Linked DNA regions of Caenorhabditis elegans. The protein of the gene in region 2 interacts with the protein of the main gene of each other region in a biochemical or structural test. Each region holds a gene or a part of one and is shown on either strand. Other genes may lie near its edges.

Evidence for each region. Proteins that work in one complex are often made in the same cells at the same time.
Region 1: of the proteins of dcr-1 (region 2) and ced-3, one has a biochemical effect on the other in vitro, tested with the Caenorhabditis elegans proteins (2 studies listed by BioGRID).

The regions. Positions count from the first base shown.
Region 1 is NC_003282.8:13,196,810-13,207,143, reverse strand, and holds ced-3 (Cell death protein 3 subunit p17), read left to right. Parts: upstream 1-3,006; 5' UTR 3,007-3,077; coding exon 3,078-3,212; intron 3,213-3,275; coding exon 3,276-3,421; intron 3,422-3,699; coding exon 3,700-3,953; intron 3,954-5,141; coding exon 5,142-5,473; intron 5,474-6,385; coding exon 6,386-6,599; intron 6,600-6,653; coding exon 6,654-6,781; intron 6,782-6,854; exon of another isoform or gene 6,855-7,004; intron 7,005-7,135; coding exon 7,136-7,375; intron 7,376-7,851; coding exon 7,852-7,914; 3' UTR 7,915-8,883; downstream 8,884-10,334. Other genes in the region: C48D1.1 (Zer-1-like leucine-rich repeats region domain-containing protein), read left to right, coding at 9,762-9,819, 9,870-10,112.
Region 2 is NC_003281.10:8,075,461-8,083,042, reverse strand, and holds the start of dcr-1 (Death-promoting deoxyribonuclease), read left to right. Parts: upstream 1-2,761; 5' UTR 2,762-2,768; coding exon 2,769-2,819; intron 2,820-2,864; coding exon 2,865-3,027; intron 3,028-3,121; coding exon 3,122-3,255; intron 3,256-3,300; coding exon 3,301-3,460; intron 3,461-3,525; coding exon 3,526-3,665; intron 3,666-3,717; coding exon 3,718-4,089; intron 4,090-4,521; coding exon 4,522-4,704; intron 4,705-4,748; coding exon 4,749-4,877; intron 4,878-4,921; coding exon 4,922-5,164; intron 5,165-5,210; coding exon 5,211-5,365; intron 5,366-5,433; coding exon 5,434-5,800; intron 5,801-5,908; coding exon 5,909-6,088; intron 6,089-6,129; coding exon 6,130-6,198; intron 6,199-6,248; coding exon 6,249-6,399; intron 6,400-6,516; coding exon 6,517-6,847; intron 6,848-6,907; coding exon 6,908-7,500; intron 7,501-7,546; coding exon 7,547-7,582. Other genes in the region: apc-2 (Anaphase-promoting complex subunit 2), read right to left, coding at 1-86, 134-231, 276-509, 554-687, 778-916, 958-1,033, 1,080-1,197, 1,247-1,394 and 5 more. UniProt on the Caenorhabditis elegans protein: Component of the ERI/DICER complex which is involved in processing amplified double-stranded RNA (dsRNA) intermediates during small-RNA-mediated gene-silencing or RNA interference (RNAi). Involved in cleaving dsRNA in the RNAi pathway.

The DNA of each region.
Region 1 (10,334 bases), on a different chromosome or scaffold from region 2:
GCACTTTATGACGGCACACTTCACAACTTGCTAAACTTTTTGTTCGTGGACACTGCAACGTACGCAGGCGTCGGTGAAAAACTTGAGTCAGCTTATCTCGAAATCGTTTGTTGATAAATAGTCAGGATTTTGTTTCAGATTCAATTTTGGAAAGTGCCGTGAGAACCGTGCGAAGAAGCTCATCTCGGGACATGGATATTTCATCGCTGAACATGGAAAAGGAGTGTGGGAGAACTTGTACTATCTTCCACGTAGCAACGGCGAGTATCTGTTCCTTCCACGTGCTTAGATGTGTGGGATTGATGGACGCGATATTTGATTTTTTGAAATTATTAAGTTCTGTTCTACAGAATTTTCAATAAAAAGTTTTCTTTGGCTCTTGCGTTACTTATGTTACTAATTAGTGTTATTTATATTATCAACAAGAATTAAAATTAAAATTTTAAGAAACATTGAAGCTTTGCATTAAAAATTTAAAACGTTTATTTTAATTCAATTTTTAAAATTTGGCTCACTGCGATTCTGCGTGAAATGTGATGTTTCTACAGTAACCCGTACAACCAAGGCATCGAACTTCACGACATTTACGAATTCAAATTTGAATTGCAAACTTTTTAATTTTATCGATTTTCTTTCTTTTTGAGCTTTATCAATAGCTCTAAGCGATTATTCAACAGAATTTCACTTTTTTACGCCTAAATGATTGAAAATTTGATAAAATATCAATAATTTACGGTTATCCTCTTCGTAATCTTCGCTTTCTTCCCAGAGTAGTGAAAATATCGACTTTTTGATAGAAACTGGATTTTTTAACTTCCCTGTTCGAAAAACTATTTTTCCTTAAATGAGATCTGAAATAAGGTGATAAATTAATAAATTAAGTGTATTTCTGAGGAAATTTGACTGTTTTAGCACAATTAATCTTGTTTCAGAAAAAAAGTCCAGTTTTCTAGATTTTTCCGTCTTATTGTCGAATTAATATCCCTATTATCACTTTTTCATGCTCATCCTCGAGCGGCAGCGTCTCAAAGAATTGTGAGAGCAAACGCGCTCCATTGACCTCCACACTCAGCCGCCAAAAACAAACGTTCGAACATTCGTGTGTTGTGCCTCCTTTTCCGTTATCTTGCAGTCATCTTTTGTCGTTTTTTTCTTTGTTCTTTTTGTTGAACGTGTTGCTAAGCAATTATTACATCAATTGAAGAAAAGGCTCGCCGATTTATTGTTGCCAGAAAGATTCTGAGATTCTCGAAGTCGATTTTATAATATTTAACCTTGGTTTTTGCATTGTTTCGTTTAAAAAAACCACTGTTTATGTGAAAAACGATTAGTTTACTAATAAAACTACTTTTAAACCTTTACCTTTACCTCACCGCTCCGTGTTCATGGCTCATAGATTTTCGATACTCAAATCCAAAAATAAATTTACGAGGGCAATTAATGTGAAACAAAAACAATCCTAAGATTTCCACATGTTTGACCTCTCCGGCACCTTCTTCCTTAGCCCCACCACTCCATCACCTCTTTGGCGGTGTTCTTCGAAACCCACTTAGGAAAGCAGTGTGTATCTCATTTGGTATGCTCTTTTCGATTTTATAGCTCTTTGTCGCAATTTCAATGCTTTAAACAATCCAAATCGCATTATATTTGTGCATGGAGGCAAATGACGGGGTTGGAATCTTAGATGAGATCAGGAGCTTTCAGGGTAAACGCCCGGTTCATTTTGTACCACATTTCATCATTTTCCTGTCGTCCTTGGTATCCTCAACTTGTCCCGGTTTTGTTTTCGGTACACTCTTCCGTGATGCCACCTGCTCCGTCTCAATTATCGTTTAGAAATGTGAACTGTCCAGATGGGTGACTCATATTGCTGCTGCTACAATCCACTTTCTTTTCTCATCGGCATGCTTACGAGCCCATCATAAACTTTTTTTTCCGCGAAATTTGCAATAAACCGGCCAAAAACTTTCTCCAAATTGTTACGCAATATATACAATCCATAAGAATATCTTCTCAATGTTTATGATTTCTTCGCAGCACTTTCTCTTCGTGTGCTAACATCTTATTTTTATAATATTTCCGCTAAAATTCCGATTTTTGAGTATTAATTTATCGTAAAATTATCATAATAGCACCGAAAACTACAAAAAATGGTAAAGTCTTTTAAATCGGCTCGACATTATCGTATTAAGGAATCACAAAATTCTGAGAATGCGTACTGCGCAACATATTTGACGCGCAAAATATCTCGTAGCGAAAACTACAGTAATTCTTTAAATGACTACTGTAGCGCTTGTGTCGATTTACGGGCTCAATTTTTGAAAATAATTTTTTTTTTCGAATTTTGACAACCCGTAAATCGTCACAAGCGCTACGGTAGTCATTTAAAGGATTACTGTAGTTCTAGCTACGAGATATTTTGCGCGCCAAATATGATGCGTAATACGCATTCTCTGAATTTTGTGTTTCCGTAATAATTTCACAAGATTTTGGCATTCCTCTTTAAAGGCGCACGGATTTATTCCAATGGGTCTCGGCACGCAAAAAGTTTGATAGACTTTTAAATTCTCCTTGCATTTTTAATTCAATTACTAAAATTTTCGTGAATTTTTCTGTTAAAATTTTTAAAATCAGTTTTCTAATATTTTCCAGGCTGACAAACAGAAACAAAAACACAACAAACATTTTAAAAATCAGTTTTCAAATTAAAAATAACGATTTCTCATTGAAAATTGTGTTTTATGTTTGCGAAAATAAAAGAGAACTGATTCAAAACAATTTTAACAAAAAAAAACCCCAAAATTCGCCAGAAATCAAGATAAAAAATTCAAGAGGGTCAAAATTTTCCGATTTTACTGACTTTCACCTTTTTTTTCGTAGTTCAGTGCAGTTGTTGGAGTTTTTGACGAAAACTAGGAAAAAAATCGATAAAAATTACTCAAATCGAGCTGAATTTTGAGGACAATGTTTAAAAAAAAACACTATTTTTCCAATAATTTCACTCATTTTCAGACTAAATCGAAAATCAAATCGTACTCTGACTACGGGTCAGTAGAGAGGTCAACCATCAGCCGAAGATGATGCGTCAAGATAGAAGGAGCTTGCTAGAGAGGAACATTATGATGTTCTCTAGTCATCTAAAAGTCGATGAAATTCTCGAAGTTCTCATCGCAAAACAAGTGTTGAATAGTGATAATGGAGATATGATTAATGTGAGTTTTTAATCGAATAATAATTTTAAAAAAAAATTGATAATATAAAGAATATTTTTGCAGTCATGTGGAACGGTTCGCGAGAAGAGACGGGAGATCGTGAAAGCAGTGCAACGACGGGGAGATGTGGCGTTCGACGCGTTTTATGATGCTCTTCGCTCTACGGGACACGAAGGACTTGCTGAAGTTCTTGAACCTCTCGCCAGATCGTAGGTTTTTAAAGTTCGGCGCAAAAGCAAGGGTCTCACGGAAAAAGAGGCGGATCGTAATTTTGCAACCCACCGGCACGGTTTTTTCCTCCGAAAATCGGAAATTATGCACTTTCCCAAATATTTGAAGTGAAATATATTTTATTTACTGAAAGCTCGAGTGATTATTTATTTTTTAACACTAATTTTCGTGGCGCAAAAGGCCATTTTGTAGATTTGCCGAAAATACTTGTCACACACACACACACACATCTCCTTCAAATATCCCTTTTTTCCAGTGTTGACTCGAATGCTGTCGAATTCGAGTGTCCAATGTCACCGGCAAGCCATCGTCGGAGCCGCGCATTGAGCCCCGCCGGCTACACTTCACCGACCCGAGTTCACCGTGACAGCGTCTCTTCAGTGTCATCATTCACTTCTTATCAGGATATCTACTCAAGAGCAAGATCTCGTTCTCGATCGCGTGCACTTCATTCATCGGATCGACACAATTATTCATCTCCTCCAGTCAACGCATTTCCCAGCCAACCTTGTATGTTGATGCGAACACTAAATTCTGAGAATGCGCATTACTCAACATATTTGACGCGCAAAATATCTCGTAGCGAAAAATACAGTAACCCTTTAAATGACTATTGTAGTGTCGATTTACGGGCTCGATTTTCGAAACGAATATATGCTCGAATTGTGACAACGAATTTTAATTTGTCATTTTTGTGTTTTCTTTTGATATTTTTGATCAATTAATAAATTATTTCCGTAAACAGACACCAGCGCTACAGTACTCTTTTAAAGAGTTACAGTAGTTTTCGCTTCAAGATATTTTGAAAAGAATTTTAAACATTTTGAAAAAAAATCATCTAACATGTGCCAAAACGCTTTTTTCAAGTTTCGCAGATTTTTTGATTTTTTTCATTCAAGATATGCTTATTAACACATATAATTATCATTAATGTGAATATCTTGTAGAAATTTTGGTTTTCGTTCTAGTATGCTCTACTTTTGAAATTGCTCAACGAAAAAATCATGTGGTTGTTCATATGATGACGAAAAATGCATTTTTTATATATTTTCCCCTATTCATGTGTGCAGAAAAATGTAAAAAAGCGCATGCATTTTTCGACATTTTTTACATCGAACGACAGCTCACTTCACATGCTGAAGACGAGAGACGCGGAGAAATACCACACATCTTTCTGCGTCTCTCGTCTTCAGCATGTGAAATGGGATGTCGGTCGATGTAAAAAAATGTCGAATAATGTAAAAAATGCATGCGTTTTTTTACACTTTTCTGCACAAATGAATAGGGGGAAAATGTATTAAAATACATTTTTTGTATTTTTCAACATCACATGATTAACCCCATTATTTTTTCGTTGAGCAACTTAAAAAGTAGAGAATATTAGAGCGAAAACCAAAATTTCTTCAAGATATTACCTTTATTGATAATTATAGATGTTAATAAGCATATCTTGAATGAAAGTCAGCAAAAATATGTGCGAAACACCTGAAAAAAATCAAAAATTCTGCGAAAATTGAAAAAATGCATTAAAATACATTTTTGCATTTTTCTACATCACATGAATGTAGAAAATTAAAAGGGAAATCAAAATTTCTAGAGGATATAATTGAATGAAACATTGCGAAATTAAAATGTGCGAAACGTCAAAAAAGAGGAAATTTGGGTATCAAAATCGATCCTAAAACCAACACATTTCAGCATCCGCCAACTCTTCATTCACCGGATGCTCTTCTCTCGGATACAGTTCAAGTCGTAATCGCTCATTCAGCAAAGCTTCTGGACCAACTCAATACATATTCCATGAAGAGGATATGAACTTTGTCGATGCACCAACCATAAGCCGTGTTTTCGACGAGAAAACCATGTACAGAAACTTCTCGAGTCCTCGTGGAATGTGCCTCATCATAAATAATGAACACTTTGAGCAGATGCCAACACGGAATGGTACCAAGGCCGACAAGGACAATCTTACCAATTTGTTCAGATGCATGGGCTATACGGTTATTTGCAAGGACAATCTGACGGGAAGGGTACGGCGAAATTATATTACCCAAACGCGAAATTTTTGCCATTTTTGCGCCGAAAATGTGGCGCCCGGTCTCGACACGACAATTTGTGTTAAATGCAAAAATGTATAATTTTGCAAAAAACAAAATTTTGAACTTCCGCGAAAATGATTTACCTAGTTTCGAAATTTTCGTTTTTTCCGGCTACATTATGTGTTTTTTCTTAGTTTTTCTATAATATTTGATGTAAAAAACCGTTTGTAAATTTTCAGACAATTTTCCGCATACAAAACTTGATAGCACGAAATCAATTTTCTGAATTTTCAAAATTATCCAAAAATGCACAATTTAAAATTTGTGAAAATTGGCAAACGGTGTTTCAATATGAAATGTATTTTTAAAAACTTTAAAAACCACTCCGGAAAAGCAATAAAAATCAAAACAACGTCACAATTCAAATTCAAAAGTTATTCATCCGATTTGTTTATTTTTGCAAAATTTGAAAAAATCATGAAGGATTTAGAAAAGTTTTATAACATTTTTTCTAGATTTTTCAAAATTTTTTTTAACAAATCGAGAAAAAGAGAATGAAAAATCGATTTTAAAAATATCCACAGCAACGAGAGTTTGAAATTACAGTACTCCTTAAAGGCGCACACCCCATTTGCATTGACCAAAAATTTGTCGTGTCGAGACCAGGTACCGTAGTTTTTGTCGCAAAAATTGCACCATTGGACAATAAACCTTCCTAATCACCAAAAAGTAAAATTGAAATCTTCGAAAAGCCAAAAAATTCAAAAAAAAAGTCGAATTTCGATTTTTTTTTTGGTTTTTTGGTCCCAAAAACCAAAAAATCAATTTTTCGTCAAAATACCAAAAGAAACCCAAAAAATTTCCCAGCCTTGTTCCTAATGTAAACTGATATTTAATTTCCAGGGAATGCTCCTGACAATTCGAGACTTTGCCAAACACGAATCACACGGAGATTCTGCGATACTCGTGATTCTATCACACGGAGAAGAGAATGTGATTATTGGAGTTGATGATATACCGATTAGTACACACGAGATATATGATCTTCTCAACGCGGCAAATGCTCCCCGTCTGGCGAATAAGCCGAAAATCGTTTTTGTGCAGGCTTGTCGAGGCGGTTCGTTTTTTATTTTAATTTTAATATAAATATTTTAAATAAATTCATTTTCAGAACGTCGTGACAATGGATTCCCAGTCTTGGATTCTGTCGACGGAGTTCCTGCATTTCTTCGTCGTGGATGGGACAATCGAGACGGGCCATTGTTCAATTTTCTTGGATGTGTGCGGCCGCAAGTTCAGGTTGCAATTTAATTTCTTGAATGAGAATATTCCTTCAAAAAATCTAAAATAGATTTTTATTCCAGAAAGTCCGACGAAAAAATTGCGATATAATTACGAAATTTGTGATAAAATGACAAACCAATCAGCATCGTCGATCTCCGCCCACTTCATCGGATTGGTTTGAAAGTGGGCGGAGTGAATTGCTGATTGGTCGCAGTTTTCAGTTTAGAGGGAATTTAAAAATCGCCTTTTCGAAAATTAAAAATTGATTTTTTCAATTTTTTCGAAAAATATTCCGATTATTTTATATTCTTTGGAGCGAAAGCCCCGTCCTGTAAACATTTTTAAATGATAATTAATAAATTTTTGCAGCAAGTGTGGAGAAAGAAGCCGAGCCAAGCTGACATTCTGATTGCATACGCAACGACAGCTCAATATGTTTCGTGGAGAAACAGTGCTCGTGGATCATGGTTCATTCAAGCCGTCTGTGAAGTGTTCTCGACACACGCAAAGGATATGGATGTTGTTGAGCTGCTGACTGAAGTCAATAAGAAGGTCGCTTGTGGATTTCAGACATCACAGGGATCGAATATTTTGAAACAGATGCCAGAGGTACTTGAACAACAATCGATCTGCTAACTTTTTAAGGCACAGAAAAATAGGCAGAGCGTCCTTTTGCAAGCCTGCCGCGCGTCAACCTAGAATTTTAGTTTTTAGCTAAAATGATTGATTTTGAATATTTTATGCTAATTTTTTTGCGTTAAATTTTGAAATAGTCACTATTTATCGGGTTTCCAGTAAAAAATGTTTATTAGCCATTGGATTTTACTGAAAACGAAAATTTGTAGTTTTTCAACGAAATTTATCGATTTTTAAATGTAAAAAAAAATAGCGAAAATACATCAACATCAAGCATTTAAGCCAAAAATTGTTAACTCATTTAAAAAATTAATTCAAAGTTGTCCACGAGTATTACACGGTTGGCGCGCGGCAAGTTTGCAAAACGACGCTCCGCCTCTTTTTCTGTGCGGCTTGAAAACAAGGGTATCGGTTTTAGATTTTTCCCCAAAATTTAAATTAAATTTCAGATGACATCCCGCCTGCTCAAAAAGTTCTACTTTTGGCCGGAAGCACGAAACTCTGCCGTCTAAAATTCACTCGTGATTCATTGCCCAATTGATAATTGTCTGTATCTTCTCCCCCAGTTCTCTTTCGCCCAATTAGTTTAAAACCATGTGTATATTGTTATCCTATACTCATTTCACTTTATCATTCTATCATTTCTCTTCCCATTTTCACACATTTCCATTTCTCTACGATAATCTAAAATTATGACGTTTGTGTCTCGAACGCATAATAATTTTAATAACTCGTTTTGAATTTGATTAGTTGTTGTGCCCAGTATATATGTATGTACTATGCTTCTATCAACAAAATAGTTTCATAGATCATCACCCCAACCCCACCAACCTACCGTACCATATTCATTTTTGCCGGGAATCAATTTCGATTAATTTTAACCTATTTTTTCGCCACAAAAAATCTAATATTTGAATTAACGAATAGCATTCCCATCTCTCCCCGTGCCGGAATGCCTCCCGGCCTTTTAAAGTTCGGAACATTTGGCCAATTATGTATAAAATTTTGTAGGTCCCCCCCATCATTTCCCGCCCATCATCTCAAATTGCATTCTTTTTTCGCCGTGATATCCCGATTCTGGTCAGCAAAGATCTTTCTCATAGCCCATTCCATTCGAGCTTTCTAATAGGAATTTGAAAATTTTCGAAATTCCAGTAAATAATATTGGAAAATGGATTTTTCGAGTTTTCAGCAACACAAATTTACTTGAAACCCCATTTTCCAAAATTTCAATTTTTTCAAATTTCCCGCTATCTTCCAAAATACTCTTGTACGTTTATTATATTTCCCTCGTTTTTCTTCGATTCCTCCTCTCCGCGCACCCAATAAGTTTTATATATGTTGAGATTTATATAGCTTGTTATTATAATTATATATTTATAGATTATTATAGTTGCTTTTCTCGCCGTATGTTTGTGTGTGTGTGATTGGTATACATAGATAAAAGAAAACAAGGTGTTAACAAAACAAAGGTGAAAAATAATCAACAATTAAAGAAGGAAACAAGCTAATATAAAATTTCGCACATATATGATATGCAAGCTTCTGACAATTCCCTAGTGAGTACTACAGATTAAGAATATGTGCACAAAAATTAAAGGCTGAATTTAAGCTTCTCAAACCTCCCAGATTACAAATATTACGGGAACATATAATTCTGAGCATGCGTACTGTGCAACATACTTGACGCGCAAAATATCTCGTAGCGAAAACTACAGTAATTCTATAAATGACTACAGTAGCTCTTGTATCGATTTACGGGCTCGAATTTCAAAATGAATTAAAATAATTTATTTGTCGATGGAATATTAAAATTAAGCAAAACATGAGAAAATAATACGAAATAACCAAGGGAAAAATGAGAAGTTGCTGTCACTATTCAAAAAGTCCCTCATTTCGAAAATGGGGACCGTAAATCGACACAAGCGGTACAGTAGTCACTTAAAATAATTACTGTAGTTTTCGCTACGAGATAGCTTGCGCGTCAAAAATGTTGCCGAGTACGCATTCTCAGAATTGTTTGTTCCCGTAATATAATTTTCTAAATGTACGTCCTTATATTATATTCTCAAAGTGCAAGAAGTCATTAGAAGTTATAATATATGAAATTTTTATCAGATTTCATATTTCAGTTTTTGAAACAATATTATGTAAACTCAAAATTTATCTGACCTCAAACATTCATGACTGTTCCCACTTTCTCATTCCCACGAGGTGCAATGATAGAGCTACATTAGAGACAGGTGTTCATAGGACCATACTATTTGCTCGCAATCCTCGATTGTTCACCCTTTCTTGTTTTTTCATTCTCTTTCGTTCTGTAAGATAGCACTTCTCTATTTTCTGGTTATTCCAAACAATGACCAAGCCTCTTCATGACATTGCCTGCCAAAAAATTGCCGAATTCGTTCAAAATGGTTAGTTTTTTGGAGATTTATCTCAATCTTACACTAAAGTATTTTTACAGGTTCATACGATAACAGAGAATTTGAACTTGATTCCAAATCGAGTAACATTGTTTATTCATATTTAATGAATCGAGATAAACCATTCAATTTAAAAACCATCCATAAACTGAACGTAACAAAAGTTACACTACACCCCCAGACACTGGATGAGAACACTGCAAGGCAACTGAAACAATTCTCGTTGAAAGAATTGAAAATTGGAAATTTTTCTAAATCTAAAAGTTGGTGCATATTTAGAAGAAGTAAGTTATTACGAGCAATAGATACATTTTTTCATTTTGTTTAGAATCAGATGTTTCACGGGTTTCTGGCTGGGCCCCTCGGTGTATTTTGTGCAAACACCGTCACGCGCAAACATATGTTCCATACACGATAAAGGCCATTCAGTTATCGATTGTTCCATTCAATTTACAGAATTTTCAAAAAAAAATTAGAAATTTCGAATGGAAAATCTTAATAAAACC
Region 2 (7,582 bases):
GGAACAAGAAGAGGAGAAGAGCGTACATATTTGGAATTGTTCGATCTACTTCAACTCCATCGATATTGATAGAAACCTCTACACATCTTTAAAAAGTTAAAATTCACATGATAATTCAACAAATGAAACTTACCCAACACTTCTTAACCATTCTAATTTTCTGTCGCGCTTCACGTCCAGATAAGTTTCTTGGTAAACGTCCATCGCAGCTTGCAATGGTTGAGGCATTAACTGAAATAATTTTTCATATTGTAACATTGTTGCAATATTCTCACCGCTTCTGTTTTTTCAGTTTCCAACTTTGGCCAATAATGACTTGAGATGATACATGCAGAAATTGGAATAATCGGAACATCATAATTTCCAGCGCTTCTTTCACTCATGTCTTCAAACTTTTTATCAATATCGAGACTATGAATAACGTCCCGAAGCATCACTTCACAATGTTGTAGCTCACTGTATTGGAATCTCAGTTTCAGCAAGTCCAGGTATCGCTTCTCGAATTCAGGCTAAAAAAGATATAGACTTCGTTGAAAACGAAAAGAGTACTTACATCTTTGTTGTCCGAACTCGAAAGTCGTTCAGCAAGAAGATTTCTATATTCTTTGACAAAAAGTTCTTTGGATCCATATACAGAGACAAGCATATTGAAGACGTCAACACCTTGATGCCCGGGTGCTCCATCACCTGAAAATAAGAATAACATTTTAATAACTTTTACTGAATTTGAGAGAATTGTCATTGAACTTCCGTGAGTTTTTATCTGTAATCACTAACCAACAGTAGCATCAGTTGGGTTAGGCATCCAGTTTTCCCATCCAAGCGTCTCCATATTTTCTGGCAAAAAATCATCGTTGACACCTTTCAGTTCTTCCTCGTCCATCATTGCCGATCGAACAGTTTTAGACTGTAAGCTCTTGAAAAGTGTTAGAAAACGTTTTTTTAGTACACGCTTACCATATCTTTTTCCAGTTCATTTTTCTTATTAGAAGTAATGTAACTGATAATTTGTTGTACAGTGTCAGGTCGCCTTCTGAAAAAAAAATTAAATATAATTAAACAATCAGGAAATAGCTTACTTCAAATATTCTCTGATAACTCCACAAACTTTATGCATAACCACGCAACTATTGTCCATTTCACGAAGAGATTCTACGCACGCCGCATAAGCTTTCAAAATGTCTTTTGTATCAACCGCTGAAATTTTAAATATTTAAGTTTTAAATAATTCCCCTCACCAACTTACATGCAACAAGAAGTTTTGTGTTAACTTGATCTATCAAGTAATTTGTGAAATCGACTCTCCCATGATTATTAGTTCTCAAAAGGCAATATTTCATTGTGATGAGACTGCGAAATTTTACTGGAAAATCTACGGCGATCATTTCATATGCCTACAAAAAATATTTTTTAGGTTCCAAATTTTTTTAAAAACTCACGTTTTTGGAAAGCATTTGGAAGACATCTTTGTAAATAGTGTCACTAATTAAATGGAATGCGTCTTGCATTGTTACTTGATCTGACCAAATCCTCAGACTCTCCATAATTTCTTGAAACATTGAACATCTCAGCTCATTGTCAAAAGCCGCTTTCTCGTGCATCACCAATGTTGCAGCAAGCTCGCGAATATACACTGAAAGTGCTGCGTTCATGTGACGATTTGCATTGAGAATTCCAGTTTTTCTGAAAATGTTATATATAATTTAGGAAGTCAGGCTTTACCCACAATTCATTGACAAAAGGATTAAAATCTTGAACATATTGCCCGCATATTTCTTTTTTTTCTGGTGTCCACAGCTCTTGGTTTAAATCGATTCCATGATCGATTTTTCGATGAGGAAGGTACATGGCAACTGAAAAATGTTATTGGAAACTGGGGCTGAATGAAAAAAAAATACGTCTGTAATTAGTGAAGTGCGACATAAAATAAGGTCTGAGAACTTTGATAACAACTTTCTGCATGGCCAGTGGGAAGATGAGCTCTGCAGCATCGCGAATATCCGGTTGACCAACGCCTTTTTCCAATGCAAACTGAAATTATTTTCCATTAGCTTGTTACACCTCTATTTTCTGACCGTTTTCCATAAGGAGAAGATTTTTCAGAGCATTTAATTGAGAATAAGGCTAATTTGTTCTTGATTGGATTTAAAAATTTTAAAACTCACCATCAGGCATTCTTGCTGTACTCGTTGCAGAACTGTCGTCATATCATAAACTTTTTCAATATTTTTTGCGTATTTTGCGTGATATATCAGAGCATCCCAGACTTCTTTTTTCTTTGAGACGCAAAATTGTCTGAAAACTGTCTTTACGGAACTCATTTTCAAAAATTCCATACCTGTACTTCATCGCAGCCTCTTTCGAAGTAGTCATTCTGTCAAAAATGGACATTTTCGAAATGGTTAAAATAATTTCAGCAAGGATACGAGAAGAGAACGATGACAAATGTGTGAGAAACTGTATATATTAAAGGATCATGCTTAAAACGAAGGTTGGGGTCTCGGAAACTACATTTCCACAAAAACCGCGAATAAATGTTCCTTTAAAAATTATACGAAAAAATGTTTGTTTCTTTTTTTTCACACGATTTTTCAGAGTATTTTCTTTCAAATTTCTGTCGATTCCACTTTTCCTCCGTCTTTTGAATGTTCCCATGAAAGAGACATAGACATTGGTTCAGTAGAGCGCATACTACGGGGCAGTCAGCGGCAATTATTTTTTATTGTAATTTTTGAACATTATCAATTTTCCCTGTTTTCAGACCAATAATGGTCAGGGTAAGAGCTGATTTACAATGTTTTAACCCCAGGGACTACCAGGTAATTTTTAAGTAGCAAAATAAATTAAAAATAATCGATTTTCAGGTGGAACTTTTGGATAAAGCGACAAAAAAGAACACAATCGTCCAACTAGGCACTGGTTCAGGAAAAACTTTCATTGCAGTTCTACTGCTGAAAGAATATGGAGTTCAATTGTTTGCACCATTGGATCAGGGTGGAAAACGAGCGTTTTTTGTTGTAGAGAAAGGTAATTTCGTCTATTAAAAATAAGCCAGCTGGCCAGTAAAGTGAATAATTGACAAAAAAAAACAAGATTTATTCTAAAACATCATTTTTTCCAGTAAACCTCGTTGAACAACAAGCTATCCACATCGAAGTTCACACAAGTTTCAAAGTTGGTCAGGTCCACGGACAGACAAGTAGTGGTTTATGGGACAGCAAAGAACAATGTGATCAGTTCATGAAGAGGCACCATGTGAGTGAGAATACGAAGCTGAACTATCGAGCATATATATTTCAGGTTGTTGTGATCACAGCTCAATGCCTTCTTGATTTGATTCGACATGCGTACTTGAAAATTGAAGACATGTGTGTTCTGATCTTTGACGAATGTCATCATGCTCTCGGTTCTCAACATCCATACAGAAGCATCATGGTCGATTATAAGTTATTGAAAAAGGGTAAGTATTGAGGAATTAATGGTGAAACTTCGAATTCGCTTCAAAATACGGAAATATTTTTTCAGACAAACCCGTCCCACGTGTATTAGGACTCACAGCCAGTCTTATCAAAGCGAAAGTTGCGCCGGAAAAACTAATGGAACAGTTAAAAAAGTTGGAATCTGCGATGGACAGTGTTATAGAGACAGCTAGTGATTTAGTCTCGGTATGATTTAAAAAAGACAAACAAAGACTTGTTTCCAATAAAACTAATTTAGCTCTCGAAATACGGTGCGAAACCCTATGAAGTTGTGATCATCTGCAAAGACTTTGAAATTGGGTGCCTGGGTATTCCGAATTTCGACACAGTTATAGAAATATTTGATGAAACTGTAGCCTTTGTGAACACCACAACAGAATTTCATCCAGATCTAGATTTGGATCCTCGTAGACCGATTAAAGATTCTCTCAAGACGACGCGAGCTGTTTTTCGTCAACTGGGACCTTGGGCGGCATGGCGAACGGCTCAAGTTTGGGAGAAAGAGTTGGGAAAAATTATAAAATCTCAAGTGCTACCGGATAAGACGTTGCGGTTTTTGAATATGGCAAAAACATCTATGATTACGATTAAAAGATTGTTGGAACCGGAGGTGCGTACCTAACAAGAGACGTTGGAAAATGGTACCTCGAAGTATCGTTATGGTATAGCAATTTTTCGACAAAAAAGTGTTATCATTCGAAAAAGTTCGTAACTCCCTACTCACCAAGAGAGCTACAAATCTTGAGCAAGATTTCAAATTGTAAGATTGTAGCTCAATTCATGGCTTTTTGAGAATTATGGGCTGAAGCTTGAATGCTATATGTTTTTTAAAAACAATTTACGAATATTTGGAAACACTTTTTTTAAGTTGAAAGTTTTTTCAAAAGGGGTGAAACTGCTCGGACGCAGCTGAATTTTTGGAATGATCCTCAATAACACTTTTAATCTAAAATTACTATTCTATATTGAACTCCAAGTTAGCATTTTCCAACTTCCAGTGTAAGCAATCAACTATTAATTACACCAATTTTTTCCAATTTAGATGAAGAAAATCAAAAGTATTGAAGCTCTCCGTCCATATGTTCCTCAACGTGTCATACGTCTTTTCGAAATCCTAGAAACTTTCAACCCCGAATTTCAAAAAGAACGAATGAAGTTAGAAAAAGCAGAACATTTATCAGCCATTATTTTTGTCGATCAACGGTACATTGCATATTCGTTACTTGTAGGTTTATATGAATGTTACGGTAATATATTGTAAATTTTCAGCTTATGATGCGTCATATTAAATCATGGGAGCCTAAGTTCAAGTTTGTGAACCCGGATTACGTCGTTGGAGCCAGCGGACGAAATTTGGCGAGTTCGGATAGTCAAGGATTACATAAACGACAAACTGAAGTAAATTTATGTTTAAATTATCATTGTCTAAATATAATTTTTAGGTTCTTCGCCGTTTCCATCGAAATGAAATCAATTGTCTTATCGCTACATCAGTGCTTGAAGAAGGTGTAGATGTTAAACAATGTAATCTTGTGATTAAATTTGATCGACCACTTGACATGAGATCATACGTTCAGTCAAAGGGAAGAGCTCGGCGAGCTGGATCAAGATATGTTATCACTGTTGAGGAGAAAGATACTGCGGCGTGTGATAGTGATTTGAAAGATTTCCAGCAAATAGAAAAAGTAATATTGGAATCTTCAGTTCAATTGTTTAAAAAATGATATTAAGATTCTTCTTAGCCGCCATCGTACAGTCAACAATCCTATTGAAGATGATTCGGATAGATTTGAAGAATTTGATGTTGATTCTCAAATGGAACCATATGTTGTTGAAAAAACTGGTGCAACATTGAAAATGTCAACTGCTATCGCATTAATTAATAGGTATATTAATAATTTCACTTTAGAAGTTTAATCCAACAGCTAAATACAAACAATTGGTAATCTTCCAGATATTGTTCGAAGCTTCCTTCCGATATCTTCACTCGTCTTGTTCCACACAATCAAATCATTCCAATTGAAGAGAATGGAGTGACCAAATACTGTGCAGAGCTTCTTCTTCCAATTAACTCACCGATCAAACATGCAATTGTGCTCAAAAATCCAATGCCAAATAAGAAGACTGCACAGATGGCAGTTGCACTTGAAGCATGTCGACAATTACATTTAGAAGGAGAACTCGATGATAATTTACTTCCAAAAGGAAGAGAGTCGATTGCCAAATTATTAGAACATATTGATGAGGAGCCGGATGAGTATGCACCTGGAATTGCTGCTAAAGTTGGATCATCAAAACGAAAGCAATTATATGACAAAAAGGTATTTTCGTATATTCGATTTTCTAAAAGTCGCTCAATTCAATGAAAATAATTTAATTATCGGAAAAGTAATAGTGATAATTAAGTAAAAATAATTAAAAATTTACAGATTGCTCGTGCTCTCAATGAATCCTTCGTGGAAGCAGATAAGGAATGTTTCATCTATGCATTCGAATTGGAACGTTTCCGGGAAGCCGAACTTACGTTGAACCCGAAAAGACGAAAGTTTGAAGATCCATTTAATTATGAATATTGCTTCGGATTTCTGAGCGCAAAAGAGATACCAAAGGTACATTTTTCTGTTTGATAGCTAATAATATTTATTTGTAGATCCCACCATTCCCAGTGTTTCTTCGACAAGGAAATATGAAAGTCCGATTGATTGTCGCACCGAAAAAGGTTTTCACCTGAAAATGAGCTTATCTATTTTTACAATTCCTAAATTTCAGACTACCGTAACCGCTGCTCAGCTTCAAGAGATTCAACTGTTCCATAATTATTTGTTCACACAAGTTCTTCAAATGTGTAAAACGGGAAATTTGGAATTCGATGGAACATCAAATGCACCATTGAACACGTTGATTGTTCCACTTAACAAGCGTATGTTCTACGTCATATTCAGATATTTCTTCAAAATTAAAGCATGTCTACTAAATTATAAGGATAATTTTTTCAAAAAAAAAAATTCTACAGTATAAAAATGAACTCAAGTTATAGGAAAAGATGATATGTCCTACACAATCAACATGAAATATGTATCGGAAGTAGTTGCAAACATGGAAAATATGCCACGTATTCCAAAAGATGAAGTTCGTCGTCAATACAAATTCAACGCTGAAGATTATAAGGATGCGATCGTAATGCCGTGGTATCGAAATCTGGAACAGCCTGTATTCTACTATGTTGCTGAAATTCTACCAGAATGGAGGCCGTCGTCGAAATTCCCGGATACGCACTTCGAAACGTTTAACGAGTATTTCATCAAGAAATATAAATTAGAGATTTATGATCAGAATCAAAGTTTATTGGATGTAGATTTCACATCTACGTAAGTTATTTTGTCAATCTTGTCCAAAAAGTCATAAATATTCATATTTAAATTTTTCAGTCGTCTTAACCTTCTTCAACCTCGAATTCAAAATCAACCACGTCGTTCAAGAACTGTGAGTAACTCCTCAACGTCAAATATTCCTCAAGCATCTGCTTCTGATTCAAAAGAGTCGAATACTTCCGTTCCACACTCTTCACAACGTCAGATCCTTGTACCGGAATTGATGGACATTCATCCTATCTCTGCGACTCTTTGGAATGTTATAGCAGCCCTGCCAAGTATTTTCTATCGTGTTAATCAGTTATTGTTGACTGATGAACTTCGAGAAACAATTTTGGTGAAAGCTTTTGGAAAAGAGAAAACTAAACTGGATGATAATGTTGAATGGAATTCTCTGGCATATGCAACCGAATATGAAGAGAAACAAACGATAATCGTTAAGAAAATTCAACAATTGAGAGATTTAAATCAAAAATCGATTGAAGATCAAGAAAGAGAGACGAGAGAAAATGATAAGATTGACGATGGTGAGGAGTTATTCAATATTGGAGTTTGGGATCCAGAAGAGGCAGTCAGAATTGGTGTAGAAATTAGTTCAAGAGATGATAGAATGGACGGTGAAGATCAGGATACTGTAGGACTAACACAAGGTAGAACATATTTGGTAAAACAATTTAATAATCATCTGAATTTCAGGACTTCATGATGGGAATATATCCGATGAAGACGATG